Drosophila melanogaster: one gene and its partners. Changing the gene in region 1 together with any one later gene gives a genetic interaction. Each region holds a gene or a part of one and is shown in the gene's direction. Other genes may lie near its edges.

What was found.
Region 2: of Sh (region 1) and jus, changing one suppresses a phenotype caused by changing the other (phenotypic suppression), as found in Drosophila melanogaster (one study listed by BioGRID).
Region 3: of Sh (region 1) and Appl, changing one suppresses a phenotype caused by changing the other (phenotypic suppression), as found in Drosophila melanogaster (one study listed by BioGRID).

The regions. Positions count from the first base shown.
Region 1 is NC_004354.4:17,987,338-17,994,297, reverse strand, and holds the start of Sh (shaker), read left to right. Parts: upstream 1-3,618; 5' UTR 3,619-3,964; intron 3,965-6,960.
Region 2 is NT_033777.3:29,191,480-29,198,439, reverse strand, and holds the start of jus (julius seizure), read left to right. Parts: upstream 1-3,446; 5' UTR 3,447-3,552; intron 3,553-6,960. Other genes in the region: CG14515 (uncharacterized protein), read right to left, coding at 373-806.
Region 3 is NC_004354.4:529,553-533,152, forward strand, and holds the start of Appl (beta amyloid protein precursor-like), read left to right. Parts: upstream 1-1,617; 5' UTR 1,618-1,637; intron 1,638-2,074; 5' UTR 2,075-2,246; coding exon 2,247-2,324; intron 2,325-3,600. UniProt on the Drosophila melanogaster protein: During development, plays a role in the regulation of the neddylation pathway. Appl and APP-BP1 interact antagonistically during development.

The DNA.
Region 1 (6,960 bases):
CGCCTAGCTGTGGATCATCTGGGCAATTGCACTTGCTTAATTTAAATATACCGCATTCAATTTCTTAGCCAGTTCATTTCAAGTTTTAGTTTGTTTGTATTAATGGAATTATAATGAATTTATAATCAGCAATGAAATGAAACAAATTCCAAATAAAATCCTTTAATACATGTAAATTAATGCATAGAGTTATTTTTCGTTAAAAGAAATAATTGATCTAAATTTCCGATCAGAATAGAATGATATTAAACATTCGTGATTTTTGTAGCTGCTTTTCGAAGTATACATTTTCTATAATTGTTTGTGCATAGTCAGATCTGCGATGTGCCCAGATCATCGACGAGGCCCCCAAAAACCGATCAAATAGAATGGCAAACCAAAATAATTAAAAAGTGATTAAATAAGTTAACACCAAATGCAAATGATCTGCAAATGGCAAACAAACGAGCAGACGAGCCACAGACAACGCTTCCAGGTCGTGTGCCACCTTACGTTCGTGCAGCAGCAGCAGCGAGTACAGTGAGGCAAAGCTAACAGCGACGCGCGATACGCAACGCGGGATTATCGGCGCCCGAGAGGCCAGGAGCGGCCCACTCGGTGGCCGTCATGCAGCTGCAGGCGGCCGGGGCCCAATTAACCAGCAGCTGCATTTAGCTCACCCATTGAGCACCTAGCAAACACATAGAACACATACAGTCACATACTAGACACGCACACACGCACGTACACGCACACACACGAACACATACAGATCCAATTAATTGGCAAGGATTCAGTGAGCTCAACGAAGCAGACCAGAACTAGAAAACCGAAACAGAAAGCCAAACCGAAACTGTTACAGAAACTGAAACTGAGACCATGCAGATGATACTTGTTGCTGGCGGGTAAGTGAAAAGACAAGTCCCAACAGCCCACAATCCACCCCCCACCACCACCTTCCGACTATCCTATCCAAATCCAAATGCAAATTCAAATCCAAATCCAAATCCAAAGCCAATCCAGAATACGCAACCCTCGATGTGATATATGTGCCTCTGTGTGTGTGTACTACTCGGAACTACTCGTACTAACTTAACTGCAAAATCTGAATTGTGTATGTAACCCATGTGTTTACCTAGCCGGAATAAAAGTTGCCAAAATCATATTCTTTGTATCTATCTTTAGCCGTAAGCCTTGACTTGATCGGTCAGTTCTATATGCCAAATCATTCTGTATAATCATGCATTAATAGTACTCTAAATGCTTATTGTTTCGCCTTATTTGCCATTCGCACTCGTTGCCGCCAAATGCCTTTGCTTGGCACATGTATCTAGAATCTATAGATAATGATAACTCGTAACTTGTACTGTGTATTGTGATCATATGCTGATACATATACATTTAACAATCTGTCTAATCGCTGTTTTTCTTTGTTTCCTATTTGCAATACTCCACGATACCCACGATGACCGAACTCGATATGAACTAATACCATCAACTTCCAGGTAAGTCACAAAATACAATTATCTAAATTGGAAGATTGTGTGGGCTTAATTCTATAAGGATTTTATGGAAGATAATCTAAAATCTTAAACTATTATTGGTAAAACATTAAAACAAGTGTATATATTTCTCTGCAAGCATTAAGTCATTAAATAGCAAATGAAAACATGAGGTGAAATGTCATTTAACATTAAAAATCTAATTTTCTGAACTGAAGAATTATAAGTACTGCAGCGACTCTTAGAAGATTGCTCAAAGAGGCTAAAGTATCCAAAATGTTGACAATAAATCCCAATCATTCAAAACCTATAGAGTTTAAGAAACTAGTAAGTGCAACTGTTAGAACTAAATGAGCTTTTATTTTTAAACCCAAAAGACGTTCTTATTTTAGTTTATTAGAAAGATTATAACATTTTCTGGATAACTTCGTCTCATTAAAAAAAAATATTTCAATAATATTAGCTTTTCTCCCTTCAATAAATTGTAAAATGCTATTTGGTAAAAACTATTAAATTATAGTTAAAATTTCACAAACGGTTGTATTTTACAACCTAACCAACTTATTCTCCAAATGCTTTTGTGTGGCTATAAAAGGTTTGCGTTCCGATAAATTTTCGTCCAATAATTTTTCAACGCAAAACCTGCATTAGCAAGGACACCAAAGCTTAAAGCTTTTCTGATTTTTTGAAAATTGAAGAGCTTAAAAGCTTGACTAAAACACAATTTCTGATTTGAAGAAAACTTTCTGATAGCTTTTAAGCTGGGAAAACAAATAGCTACGTCAACTTTGTTGAAGCAGAAGCCAGAGCTTTAAGCTGCGCTTTATCCAGCTTTCCGTGGCCCTTTTCTCTCGCTTTCCCTTATGTTTTCCTTTCCGAACTTTCCCATGCTTTGTTTGGGCGCGCGTTTGTGTGCGTGAATGTGCCATGTGTTTATTTATTAATAATTGCATTACTCATACGCCACGCCGTCCCTCGCTGGAAGCATGGCGTTCAAGTGCACACGTGACACTTATATGCGTGTGTCTGTGTATTACTTGGGAGCCTTTACATGGCCATGTGTGTGCGTCCGTATGTGTGTGAGTGTGCAGTTATTCGCATTATTATAATCAAGTGGAGCCAACAAAAGGGAAGCGAAGGAATAGGCTTCGGAAGGGGGGAGCATAACGAGCCCGGCGGCGTTTTAAAGCACACATTAATAATAGAGGAGCACACCTTTGCCACCAAAGGGTGGTGGTGATGCGGTGGCGAGTTGGAGGGCATGGGGTTGTGGCTTTTGTCGTTTCTCCTTCGATTCGATTTTCTCTTGCTCCCGTGTGCATGTGAGTGTTAGTGTATGTTTGTGTTTGGTTCATTTACAGTTTTCACCTAGTTTTCGTGTTTCGGTTGTTTTGCCTTCGGCCGCCGCCTCAGCGGCCCCTAGCGGCATTTGCTTTGTTTGACACCGCCACTCATCCCCGCCGACGGGCCCCCATTTCCAGTCCAGCCAGGAGCTAGAGCTCCATCTCCAGCGGACGGTGCCCGAGTGTCGCCAGAGTCGCCAGTGTCGCCAATGTCCCTGTGCCCATGGTTCCCGCTCTTCTTGCTCAGCCATGTTCACCCAGGCTACTCTTTGGCTTTGTTGTTGCGGCTCTGCTTTGTTGTTGGTTTTCATTTTATTCATTTCGTTTCTTTTTTTTTTTTTGGTTTTGTGTTTTTTGGGCCTCCTCTGGTCGCCGTGTTCGTGCCAAGTGGCACTAAAACTATTTGCCTTTTGCCCAGTTTTCGTATGCCTTTGGCCAGCGGGAACAGGAGCGGTACCTGCCACACAGCACAGTACAGAACATCGCACATCACACATAGCACACACTCGGCACACACAGAACACAGCACGCAACACGCAAGAGGCGCCATCGGAGTCGGAGTGCAGCAGTGGAAAACTCCGTATAGCTTTAGATATATAGCTATACGATCCAGTCCGCTGACAAAGCCGGAGCCAATGCAGCAAAGCAAATCGCACGTGCTCGCCTCGGCCCAAAATGTTCGTGGCGAGTTCGTGGCGCCCAACGTGGGGCGTTCGTGCCACCGCATTTGGCTCGGCTCGTAGTTCGGCGGTTCTTCTATCGCCGGACACTTTTGCAGCGCCTCAGTTCGGTTCAGTCGTCGCAGTCGCAGTCACGTCGTCACAACGTAATCGTGCAACGCGTTCCGCGCTTGGCGGCGACTGTCGTCAGTCAGTCAATCAATCAGTCAGTCAGTCAGTCAGTCCGTCAGTCAGTCGGTCAGTCAGTTAGTCAGCCAGCTAGTCAGTTAGCTAGTCATTCATTCAGTCAGTCAATCAGTCAGTGTGTCAATCTGACAATTGGAGTTTCTATCCAGACTTCAATATTTTTTTACCTCGCTCAAAACCCCCCACTCGCACTTTAAATAATAAAAAAAAGCAGGTGGTGCGTGCCGCGTAGCCGCGCGTGATTCTTGTTGTTGTTTTTTTTTTTTCGGTGAATGTGAGTGTATGGTTCTCTTTTTTTAAATGGTAACTCTTGTTGTTATTGTTATTCCGAGCTTGGTGCGTGCCGCAAAATTCGAAACACAAGGAGAAACTCCATTTAAAAAAGGCGTTTAAAACAGCTTAAGAAGCCATTTAAGCACCCTTCCACGCGCCACAGAAAAGGGATGAGAAGAGAAAAATACACCAGGACATGATCAGAGGCTCCAGGGGAATCCTGGAGTCCCTCCAACTGTATCGCCCTATCTCCGACTGTTTCTGTGTTTGTTTACCTTAATTAATGCACTGGCAAGCGGCAAATGGACCTGGACACTGCCAACATAATTTGCCTAGGGGGCGCCACTCGAATCTACACTGCTGCAGCCTCCGGTGGAATGATGATTCTGATGGTAGTGGTGGTGGTAGGGGATTGTCCACGCCAACTTAGCCCACTGCAGGTCGAGTTAATTAATATTTCACTCTAGTTAAGGGGGAGAAAGTGGAAAATGGTAGGGATTGGTCGGGTGAAGTAGGTTGAAGTAGGGGTAAGAGGCACCAGTGAAGTTTTGCTTATATAAGCAACTTCAATTCCTATTGCCTTGTGCCATTTCCATTCCCATTCCCATTCCCACTCCCATTGCCATTTCCATTTCAGTGCAATTCGAGTGGCCCAAAAGAGCCAGAAGGAGCAAAAGCTGTAGCAGTAGCCTAAAGAGAAACTGGCAAATTGCTCATACGACGCATTGGCGCCGTCAAAAACTGAACGAGCCACAAAAGCGGAATGAGGAGTGGAATGAGCAGCCGAAGCTGAAAGAAAAACAAGTTGACCCAATTTACAATTGTAAATCAAACTTAAAATCACAGCCAAAGTTAAACAAAAATAGAATGGTGGTCAGTAGCAAGAAGGGCAGGCATGTTTAATTTACAATAAGACAGCCTCAAGGATCGAATTCAGAGATCAATTGAATGCCTCGAAATTAAACTGGGCAGTGGCCTTAATATTTGACCACAAATGAAGGCAACGTATAAATTTTGTATGTCAAAAACAAAAACCCAGAAACAGGAACTGCATTGATTGGATTAATGGCTTATGTTTCGTTGCTTCGACCGTTTTCTTTCCATTGTCATAGAGAGCATATATAAATAATAAATACACGGGCTTGCAACACAATTGTGGGTGAAAGCAGGCTTTTCCAGCAATTCGAGCACCTCAGTATGCAGTGAAAACTAAACAGATGAACGCAAACATTGGAGTAATTATGTTGGGGATTTTGAAATGCATTCATTTTGTGGTTTCATCTTTCAGCAGAGATGAGAGGTTTACCATAACTTTGCCATCCGTATTGTTTGGCAAGTCACTTGGATATCTAGGAAAACTTTGGGCCTTCCGCCCTTCGCTTTCCACCAACCACCCAGTTTTCCCATACAAATTAGTTTGGATTTGGATTCTCGCTCTGTTCATTAATTTGTCTAAGAGCAGCTGAGGTTTTTCCCCGTATTACAACTTGAGCACTTGGGCATGTGAGGTTATTATTCAGCCTCGTCTTTGTATTTTTGTTTAAGCTTCTTTTGTTTTCGCTCCTCCTATTGTTTTCCTCTCTATGTTCCCCGCTTTTTTTACGCCTCATGTTCTCATTGTATTTGCGATTAAATTCAAGTTTGACTCGCACACGCCAAAATTAATTGGGCACTTGAAAAGTTGAACAAGTCGATCGAAAGGGGGGCGAATGGTTGCAGGGGCTAGATGTGCCGTGACGGCTCGACAGCTCAGCCTTCTGTTAACCCTTATCCACTCAGTGGAAAGTGGCAAGGGGAAGGAGAATGGGTGGGAAACCCCTTTGTAATGTTCTAGGCAACTGATTTATTTTGATTGAACTTTGCATGCAAGCAGCTGAGGCAACAGGAAGAACTCCTGAGCTTTCGAGCAACAACTGGCAAGTGAAACATCATAAAACAAAGCCAGTTTGTGGTTGAATACGAATACGAGCACAGCCGCAGGCTTGGTCTTGTTGATGGGTTGGGGGGGGGGGTCTGGTTTTATGGGGGGGTTACTACTAGATTGAGGGGATCGGAGGCCATTCGCACGCACATTGCCTGGTTTTTAGGCGGCAAGGCTTAGGCTTAGCTCCAGCTCAATCGTAAATGCGTCGAGTGTGGTTCGTTCTTCTCCGCACTCTTAACCCCTTTGTGCCAAAGCTGCTCGCCAGTGTGCCAGTGTGTCTGTGTGCGTGTGTGTGTGCAGGCTAAGTGGTTATGGCAACAACAGCGCTAATAAATCCCCTCTGCACACGCCTCTGGTGCTCGCTAAGCTCTCCTAATGCCACTGAGGCAACTCGGCTTTGTCTTTCGAGTTGAATTTGCCCAGTATATGGCGCATATATCGAGTGCCTTTAAAGTGGTCGTCTGTCTTCGCAAAAACATCAGCAGCTTCCCTGATTGAATGGTGGCGAATTTTTATTCTTGCCACAACTCGATATATCTGCCAACTGTTTTGCTCCATTTTGTCTTTCCTGCCACGCTTGGCCATTTAGTTTTGGCCCAATTGCTAACTTACATATGTATATATTTATGCGCATATGTTTGCGGTCGGGCATGAACACACACACTACAAGAAAATTTGGCCACCAAAAATATGCACAGAGTCGTATTTTATATATGCTATATACTTGGTGACTTTATGCCTCATATATATATATATATGTATGTAGTATATGTCTTCCGCAACTATAAAACATTTAATGTTGCAGTGAGACTTTCTGATTTCCTTTACAAAGTTTTTAAAACTACTTTAGGGGCTTATAGAAAAAAAAATGGCAAATACTTGCTTTAGTATGCACGTTGATTTTATTTTACTAAAATGTAACGAAATGTTCCAATTAAATGAGCCTTTAGATAGTTGACCTTTGGCAATCCCGAACTTAAAATTGCCAGGGCTTTGGGTGATTTGTGTTAACCTGAATTAGTTCTCAGTGTGCCATCTATCTATGGATATTGTAAATTATTCGCCTGGATCCG
Region 2 (6,960 bases), on another chromosome or scaffold:
GGCGTATGATTAATGAATCCCTTCACGAGGCACAATGATGTTGCCACGGCTTATGCTACTTCCACCGTCGCCTCCGATGATAATGATGATTATTATGAGGGTGATGGGCCATAGAAGACACGAACTGCGTTGTACGAAGCCAGTTTTGACAAAGTGCTTCATTGAAACTGTCCGAAAAAATGGGTGCTAAGCGGTCATTTATTTTATTAAGTTGGTAGTGAAACTTCTGCATGCATTTAAGTTGTTTGCTGTGACTGTAAGAGCACTACTTAACACTGAAAGTTAGTTCGATTATAGATTCTAGATCTTTCTAATAATTCCATTGGCTTGAGCTATATAATTAACCCACTCCTCCTATAACTTCCAACTTACGTGAAGTAGACTTGTCCCCGCTTATTTTGCGGTGCCTTCCAGATGAGCTTGGCGCCCAGCTTGTCCCGGTTGTCCGAGTGCGTAATGGCCGAGCACTCTGGAATGGTCTTGGTGTTCTCGCTCTGCACCCACTCGCCGATCCACTCGTTCGAGTTGGCATCACGCGCCTGCAGGAAGAATCCCCGGAAGACGGTGCTCTGGTCCGAGTGCGGGTAGATGACCACCGATATCTGCTGGCCGGGATGGTAGGTCTGCGCATCGGCCACCACCTCGTACGGATTCGAGTGAGCCGGCTGACTCCGGGCCTTGCCATGATTCGGCTGATTCGCCCGCTGCTTCACGCACGTGTCCGCCGGAGCGCCGTCCGGAAAGGCGACTGCGGCGCCTATCAGCAGGAGCAGCTCCAGCGACAACCACTTGAATCGATCCTTCATGGCTCTGGAATTCGATTTTCCTGATCGTGGGAAAAAACGCGCGCGCTCTCGGCTAATCTGACGCTGAAACTCGGCTCGCCGCCGCCATCGCCGGCCGCTTATAAACCCAAGCGGCAATGCCACAAGCGACGCTGCCGCCGAAGACATGGGCGGGCGGTTCAAGTGGACAGATAGCCACAGTCGGGGGTGTTTGAATAGGAGCGTTTAGCTATCCAAGAAAGCCAGCTATTGGAGAAGTCAGTGCGCTAAATCATCTTTTTCTTGACTACGATAAAACTTTTTCTAAAAAGTTATTTGTACTGTTTAAAAAAATATTCAAAAATATGCAAAAATATAAACGAATATTCCACGCTTTTCTTCCAGAACTCTTTGCTGTTGATCAACTGTTATGATAAATAGTAATTAATAGCCTTTGATAACTTTATTTACTAAACAATTGCACTAAGACCCAACCGTAAATCATTACTATTATTTTATTTGGTTTTTAATTCTTAAAAGAACTAACACGGAATGATGTGTCAAGAATAAATCATTGACAGATGCCAGCTGCCATCCCAATAGATTTTCTTTGACTAATTTATGGCCGCAGCGGTGCTATTAAGCTGACCGCAAATGTAGTGGGGCGCTCAGCTGGCGGCGGCCAACCAGTTTTTAATGATCAAAAAGCAAATGGCCAAAACACACAGAGTTCCTTTCCTGCACAGTGATCCAAACTGGGTCACACATTAGTCCCTCCCCTGGTCGACGAATCGGATTTCTTTGCTCGGTTTGGTGGTCTGGGCCCGAAACTCTGGTGCTGCTCTAAGTGCTCCATTGCGAAATTCTATGCTTCTAATCGCTGAAAATGTTGGAAAATGTTGGAAAATGCTGTCCGCACTGCAACATGTTCCGCAGTTTGTTTACTTTGCGCCTGTTCGCTGCATTTTTCAGCGCGTTTTAATGTTTTAATTGACAGGCAGCCGCCGTTGGCGTTGATTTCGCTGAATTGAGTTGGCTCCGGTTGGGTTTTTCCTTTTTCTGATTTCTCAGTTGTGATTTTTTTCTGGCAGTTCGCTTTTCCCCCTTTGATACCGCTGCGTTTCGCATTTCACAGCTTCAGTCGGCGGTTTCCTTTCTGGGATCCGCCAACGCCATTCCTTCGTGGAATATGGTTTTCCACCACCTCATTTTCACTTTAGTTTTTGGCAAGGGGGATAATTGCAACAGCTGCTGTCAGTTGGAATACAAATGGAATAATTAAGTCAGTTCTTTAACTTTAAGCATTTGCTTAAATTTTCATTTATAAATTGTTCGGAATGTTTTAAAATAGTGTTTATACTCATTAAGAGAAATAATTATGCGAAATAATTATCAATTAAACTATAACAAATGGCACACAACACAGCTATGTGTTTTATAATTCCTATTTTCGCAGCATATTTTATAGCTAGAATGGTAACTAAATAAAAAATATAAATAAAGTGCCCAATTATTTCTGCTCACTTTAATTATCTTTTTTTTTTTTTTTTGTTATTCACAAGCACTGCAAACAGCATACCGAATGGCACACAAATTCTAATTTAATAAATGCGCAAATGACCAACAACACTTCGGGCCAAAACACACTTTTAAGTGCTAGTGTGTGTATCTACACGCACTCACACTTTGGGCCAAGTCAATACCAAACTTGTTTCATTAATTAAAATGTTCGGTTAATTATTCAAATTGCACGTGCCAGCGTCAGCAACTTTTGCGCACAAAACTAAATTGTTTGCTTTTGGCAATGTGTTTGTGCTGAAACGTGATAAATAATACTCTAGATTGCTGAACTTTACAATTGGACATTGGCGCTTATTTGCATTTCAAGTTGGCCGCACTGCAAAGGTCAGTTAACCCGGTGGCTTTGCTTTAACCGAAGGATCAGCGGGCCGAAAGGACATATCATCCATTATGGATGCGGCGAATGCGAATTTTCAACTCCCTGCACTGGGCAGCAGCATACCGAAATTTTCGGCCATTGAAAATGACATTTGCGCCACATCACACCAGGTCTTGTTACGCTACACAGAGAAAAATATACTAAAAATATTATAGAATTTCATTTTATTATGAATTAATCTATTCATATTTGTTTGATATTTTTGATTTTTTTTATATATAAAATACACTATTTACAAAACTTTAACGCATCAAGTCATGCCATTATCATAGAGTTTAAAAATATAAGTAAGCTAAATATTTTATCAATTAATATCTATATATAATATATATATAATATGCAAGCTGGTAATGTGTTTCTTTCAGTGCATCCATCCTCCGGCCAATGCATGCGAAATTTACTTCAACCTAAAGTACGAAAAAAGTGGGCAAACGAAGGAAAACTGCCAGCCGCCTTAAACCGATGTGCCATGTAAATAGTGGAGCTTGTGGGCTCAGAGGGGGGGATGGAGCGGTGGCCCGAGGAGGGGTCGAAAAATCCACTTCATCGGCGACGGTTGGCGCGGAAAAGTGTGTCACCTGCAGGCGGGAAATGCGCAGGTCCTGTGAGAGGAAAAGCGGCTGCCGCCTGATGGTGACTTTTCCTCGCAGACTTTTCACCAACGCCACATTCGCATTTTCCACCAAGGCTGTGGGAAATTCGGCTCAGAACGTGGTCAGACGTCGAAGCGCGTGGTCGTCGAGTTTTCCGAGAAAATCCAGTGGGAAAGCAAACAGTGCGAGGCAGCAGCAGCAGCAGCAACAACAACTATCTAGAGCAAAGGAAATTGTGAGCAATTTGTATTTTAGTAGTATATTTCTTACGCGCGTGAGTGTGTGTGTGTGTGTGAGTCAGTGAATGAGTGTGTAAGTGTGTGAATGTGGTGATGAACCGAACAGCGTGCAACAAGAATAAAAAACGAATGCCCAAAAGTGCCAAACACAAACAACAACAAAAAAAACGAGATGAAAACAGAATATACATAAATGGCAAGCAAATATTTTTCTTCTTGAGCAGGGCAAAGAAAATCACAAACTGCAGCGTATCCATGCCCTCAAACCAAAAAAAAAAGAAAAACAAAAAAATAAAACGAAGAAAACAGTGAAAAGCAATCAAAGTAATAAACGAAAAGGGGGGAATGGCGAACCGAACTGAAAGCAAATCAAAAAAATCAATGCCCTTTCTGCGGAATTATACGTTGCGTATACGTGATATGTACCGAGGTAGCCAAGTCAAATAATAATAAAGGAAATTCTCACGTGACGCATAAAAAAGCCAAGCTCGCACACACACACAGCGATGGCAACAGTAACACGGCATGCCCCTCAAACATACGCACACAGCGGTAAACTTACTACCTGGGACACAAATTGAAGTTGGCGAAACATATTTGCGCAGCAAAGTTGCTACACGCAGCGAAAACTCGCTGCAGTAGTTTCAAATTGTGGGGGGAAACTGTGATAAACACAATTCATAACCAGAAAAGAGTTGAACTAATCAGAAATCTATAAAAGATCTTAAAGTTATGGCTATTTAAAAGCAATGTGGTGCCTAAAGTTGTGGTAGTGCCTAAAAGTAGGCAATGGAATTTGTCATTCGTGAAATGTGACTTGCTGCGTATGTATATAAGTATGATTTGTGTGAAATATCATCATAGCACTGATGAAATTCAAACATTTTCTCATCTTTTCTTGCAAAAGTGTCCCACTTTTCTCCGCCTGCATTTGGAAGGCACATGATTATGATGAGCTTGCCTCGCAAACTTGTTTCTTTTTTGAGGCTCGTGGCTCGAAAATGACAACAGCTGGATGGCCGAGTGGGTGGGTGGCGGAAGATTGCCTTTTGCCGCATTTGTTGCCGCTATTTTGCATACATTGAATTTAATGAACTGCCTGTGTGCGGTGTGTTGGATTTGCTTTTAATAATTTAGGCTGCGCGCGAACTAAATGGCGCTTTTAAAGTACGAACCGTCAGGCGACCCCAATATGGGCGACAAACGGGCGAGATGAGGCACAAATGAAAATATGAAAAAGGGCAGGGAAAACACGAACCATTTAATGCCCCTTCGCACCCTCGTTGCGCCTGTATGGATACGCTGTGAGCTGGTGTGTGTGTGCAACCCCAAGTCGGAAGGGCAGACATACTAACACACTTCAGCCGGAGGACTACGTCATCCTGGCCCAGAAGCTTTGGGGCCAGCAGCCCCCCCCGACAAAGCCAAGCCAAACCACTGCGAACCGAACCCAACCAAACCAAAGCGAACTTCGCTGGGAGCACAACTTTCCCTCGACGTCGCCACATTTTCGCATTCACAATCACATCGCGTGGCATATCCATAGGCGTAAGGATACGGCATAGGCACATGGTCTGGCCTCCACTCACACCATCACACTCGCCTTGCCACACATATACACACAGAGTTTGGCGAATGTGCACATGCACAGTATAGGTGAAGTTATAAGGACTCGAGTTGCGCTGCTCCTCCTTCGGATCGATTCCGGCTAACACAGACTTTGCGGCAGTTGCCGTTGCAAACACTTGAAGAAAAAGGGTGTAACTGTGATCACGAACAAGTCAGCTGCATTTAAAGAATCTTTCAGACTTGGAAGAAGTTAAAACCCTTGATTAGATTGAGATACATTTGCAAAGCTCAGAAGAAAGTAGTGGATAGTTATCTTCTATCTATTTAAAAACCTTTACTTGGTTACATTTTCCGATATTCTGTTTCTATATCATTCGCTTTAGGATCACCTTTCTTTCAGTGAACTAACTCCAATTGCAGTGGCAGTTACTTCGCTACTAGCTGCACGACAATCTGCATGCGGCATGACATCGCGCAGCCGAAGGATCTCGAGGATATATGTGGCTGGCAGGGGGGCGTTGCCGATGGAGACGTCATCAATTTCCATCCAGCCTATAAATACAACTAAAGTATATATGCCACAATGTGATGCCTTTGCGCCGGCGGCAAGTGTTGCAGTAAATTTCGAGGAGATCCGACTGCCGGCATGACCCTTGACCTTCGACTTGCACCATGTGGCATGCCCGTTTATGCTTCGATTTGCCGCCCTATACGCCATATCCACCCCACAGCCCCACGCCACCGCTCAGGCAAATGCAAAATCATTTGCCATCGAAATCGCATGTCGACCGGCAGAAATAAAACTGAAAAAAAAAGAAGTAGAAAGAGCAGACATGCCGTATAGCAAACCGAAAACCCAACCAGAAATCCTTGTCGCACAGTTTGCGTTTATAATTTATATACGACGTTCCCCGTACGAGGAGGCTTCTCTTGTTTTAGTTGCGCATTCGTCCTTGTCCCGGCCAAGTATCCGTATCCAAGGCGGACTCTCAATCGAAATCCGCATGGAGGAGGCCTTTAAGTGCGCCCGCTGGCATTTGGTGCTCCTCCCGTTTAGGCCGACAAGCTGCCCGCTTTATGGCTATTAAAAAATGCATTTAAATACACACCACGGCCTGCCATTTACCATATAAGCCATATACCATATAATCTTCGATGCGGCCTGCGTCTGTCTCCGGTTTTCGCTTCTCGGGCCTCTTCAGCTCCTCCTCAGCTCGAGTATGAGCTCCTTTGGGGCGTTGTTGAAAATTGAAATTGCGCGCTTATTTATGGAGCTCTGGCGGGGACGCTGGCGTTGATTGCCGTAACGCCCCATTGCCTGGTACATGACTATAATAATGATTGCCATTTTTATAGGCCAGCCAGCGCCGGCGCTGCGAAGATAAATTGTTTGGCTGCTTGGAAAATCGTTTCGCTTCGACATTTGAATCCTTTTGCTCGAAACTATCTGCTTGATTTTCCCCTGGCAAATGGCTGCTGCGGTGGGTCAGCGCATGAATGCCAATGAAGTACAGCGCTAGCCACGGCGTATACTTAATTTTCGGGCAAATACTTCTAGATCTTTCGAGGGCTGACAGCGCTTCCCATAGGCGCGGTTAGCTTAAGTGCACTAATTAATTTTGCTGAGGTGAGGCTGTCCTTTAAGTAGCTTAAGGATAACTAAATGCCGCATCTCTGGGGCTTTCGCTGTGTGTGTGGGTGTGTGTGTGTGTTCACCTCCAGGATAAATAATAAAATTGCCAGCGGTCGACTGGCCCCGTTTCGCTGATGACACAGAACCGAGGAGTCGAGTGGCCCGGAGTCGAAAAGTCGACCTCTGACACCCTCATTATCCT
Region 3 (3,600 bases), about 17 Mb from region 1:
ATTGGAATTAGGGTCTAGTGCTACACGCTCGTTGGTTCAATGTTCCTGCAAGCTCGATTTCATATTCATTGCCACGTACGTTTCAGCTTACCGTGCACTGCCACGCCAGCCGGCTAAGTGCGTTGCGCAACTAGGTGAAATGTGCGTTGTTGTAGGTGTATAGCTCCGTGTCTGTACCAGGCTCCGTTCCTAGGTTTATGCTTTCCTGAGGCCTAGCAAGTAGGAGGCGGCGTAAATAAACAAATGTAAGAAATCTAATTTGTAGCCGGTAAGAAGATCAGCTGTGCGGCACAGAGTTGCCAGTCGCTGGGAAGGAAAAAATGAACATGTTAAATAATGTCGAAAGTGGTTTGCAACTTGGCTAAGGGCCAAGCAATAAGTGATGTGGATAGGAAATTGGGTGGTTGGTGGTGGGAAACTTGGATTTGGTCATATCTTACATCTTACATCTTACATCTTACATCTTACATATCGACGCCATCTAGTGCAGATTGGCTTCACCATTAGAAAAAGTATATAAACTCTTGAATCCATCGAGGAAAACAAATTTGAATTAAGTTTAGTGGTTTATAAAAACTCGTGCATAGGACAGCCTTTTGAAGACGGTGACCTGTGCGAAATTCCCTTGGGAGTTTCCACCTAGCGGTGTGCATGTAAACTAACTAACAAGCACTCCGCCAGACACTCTTGGTTCGCCCGCGGAACCAGTTCTCCCTAGTCACTTCTGTCCTGCTTGTTCCGCTAATACCACTACCACTGGAAGCACTGGTACCATAGTGCAGCCCGGACAGCCAAAAACATTGTCACCCCCGCGGAAAGCGGAAGGCCAGTTGCTCGATTCGCCCTTAATATCGATCCCGGGCACGCGCTCTGCATTCTGCGCCCGAGTTCGACTTTCGCAGTTCGCACTTTCGGACGTGGACTCGCAGGATTGCAGGCAACGAGACCACTCGCAGTCGTTTGTGAGCGTTCGCAGCGCCAGGTATAGCGTACAGCCAGGGCTCCAAAAACTCAGCGCTTTAGGGGCTTCTTCGGGCCACCCCATCTGACCACTCCCCGACAGCTTGGGAAGGCCAGGGGCTGCTGGCCAGTGGCTCTTGTCGTTCTCCCGCTCGGGCGGAGAGGTGGTGGCCGAGGAGCCACAAGCACAAAACCAGAGACACACATTGAGAGACCGTCAAATTTAACCAAAACAAGCTCAATACTTTTTTTTGCTGTTCAAGTGCTAAATAGTGCTAAAAAAGAAACCCAACAACAAAAACCATAGAGAAACATCCAAAACAAAGTGATACAAGTTCGGAAAGAAAAAGCGAAGCCGATGCCAATAGTGGATTTGTGATGCCAACTTAGCTGGGGGACAATAAGCAGCGCACCTGCGCAGAATCAGTGAGAAAGGGGTTGGGAAAGTGCGCAGAAGCCCGACGGATACGTTCCAAGAGTGCGGGAAGGGGTTAGCGAGTGGGTGGATTTGCGTGGGAACTGCCAAGACAGGAGACAGGAGACATGGACAAGTGACATGGGACGTGGAACCCGACGACTGCAGCTGACAACTTTTCCAGGCGCAGAACGGCGGCCATAGTGCCACTCATATTTTCCGTTTCGGGGAAGTACAATCTCAGGACCCCGAGAACCAGCGAGTGGGTATGACAGGACAGATAGCAGCGAGTACTCTCGTAGCTTTGCCTTATTTTTCTTTTCTTCCTTTTCCTTCAATTCCCTTATCCGCCCCCGCCCATCACGGACTCTCTCCTACTACGTTCCACAATCGAATACTACGGCCACTCACATACAAGCCACACGCACAGAGTTTTCCGAGTTGACATTTTCCGTGCATAGGTTTCTGGGCATCGGCGAAAGGAAAAGCGCTGCGCTGTGGGCAGCTAACTTGGGCACCGCAAATCGAACGAAATCGGAGTACGAACCTTAGAGCGCAGAAATCAGAAAACAGAAATCATAACCCAGAACCCAGAAAGTTAAAGGCTGAAACGAAAGGCCACAATTCCGAATCGCTTGCTAATGAAATTTTTTTGTGTTTTCGATTTCTTGCTGCTGCTACCGTCGTCCGCCTGTGCAGCAAAGTGTTAAACGAATAGCCAACAAAGCAAATACAATTAACCAGAACTGGAAGCACGTCAGTCCAGCCGCAGAAGCAGCTAAGTTCAGACCAAACTCGGAGATTCCCAGCCAGGAGATAGGACCAGGAGCCAACCAGACGAGGAGCAAAGAAGCAGAAAAGAGTGCGAACAATGTGCGCCGCGCTGCGTCGTAATTTGTTGCTGAGGAGCCTCTGGGTCGTCCTGGCCATTGGCACTGCTCAGGTTCAGGTGAGTCACCGAATCCCCACCACACCACACTACACCACACCACACGACATAACAACACACCACACTACAGCACACCACAACACACCACAGCACACCAGACCATTTCACTCCACTTTCGATACAATACTCGATGGAACGAAGGAGTAAGTCGAAAGAGCCGAAACTCAGAACAGAAACACAAACCGAAAATGAAACTGACAGAGAACACTGGGAAACTGGGCAAAACTGCACACTAAAACATTGTTTCGTTAGGGCTTTAATCGGGATGACAAATTGATTTAAACAGACAACTCGACGCTCGATGTTAGCCACGCATTGAAGCTGATAGAAGTCAAAACAATATTAATTCGGTGTCCGGGGAAGACAAGTAGGTCTCCAGCAATTAGGGACTTGTGTTGTTGCGCTACTGCCTCATCTGGCTTACTGACACAACACCCAACTTATGTATAACTTGAGTACGGCTCACAAAATAGCAGTGTGGCTCTATACTTTCTGCGTGCAACAGCAATACCAATCGCAACCGCAACCCACACACACAGGCACCCACACTCTCGCACACACACAGAGAGCCAGATACACAAGCACACAAGCACTTGAGCGGGTTTCTGTGGGATGTGGTGGCCGTCGGCTAAGCAGCCGCGCAAAGTATGCTACGAAAAATGTGCCATCGCTTAGCAGCGGCACTAAAGGCTCGAGGGCTTGAAGGCGGGAAAGGGTTGGGGATTGGGGATTGGGGATTGGGGATTGGAGATTGGGGATGGGTATGGGATGGGGATGGGATGGGGATGGGTGATAGGGCTGCCAAATTACTTGCGAGTGTGCGCAAGTATTGGCTTAATTGAACCGTTTGCTTGTCGCTGGCTACTGGCCAACTGAAAGCCGAAAACCGAAAACTTGAGGCTAGAGGATAGCAGCAGCTGGCTTCGACTAGCAATTTGCATATAAAAGTAGCGGAGGTGTTACCGAAACCAAACAGGGCGTGCAGACATTTTGATTTTGATTTTCTACACGCAGCGACTGGCAAATATCGTAGAAATGGAGTGCGGGGCCGGGTTATGCGTCCTTCGGTTGGGGTTTAAGTCCGGCTAAAAACTATCCGGCTCTGTCTGAGCATAATCCCCAAATTGGTCTGGGGCTGGACCTGCATTCACCACGAATCCTCTTGTTCAGGTCAATTCATCGACTGGCATACGTGCACGCACACACCTACCGACAAACCAAAAGGGAAGACATGCGTTACTAGGATATTGTTAGCTTTAGCTAAAGTGTTTTTAAA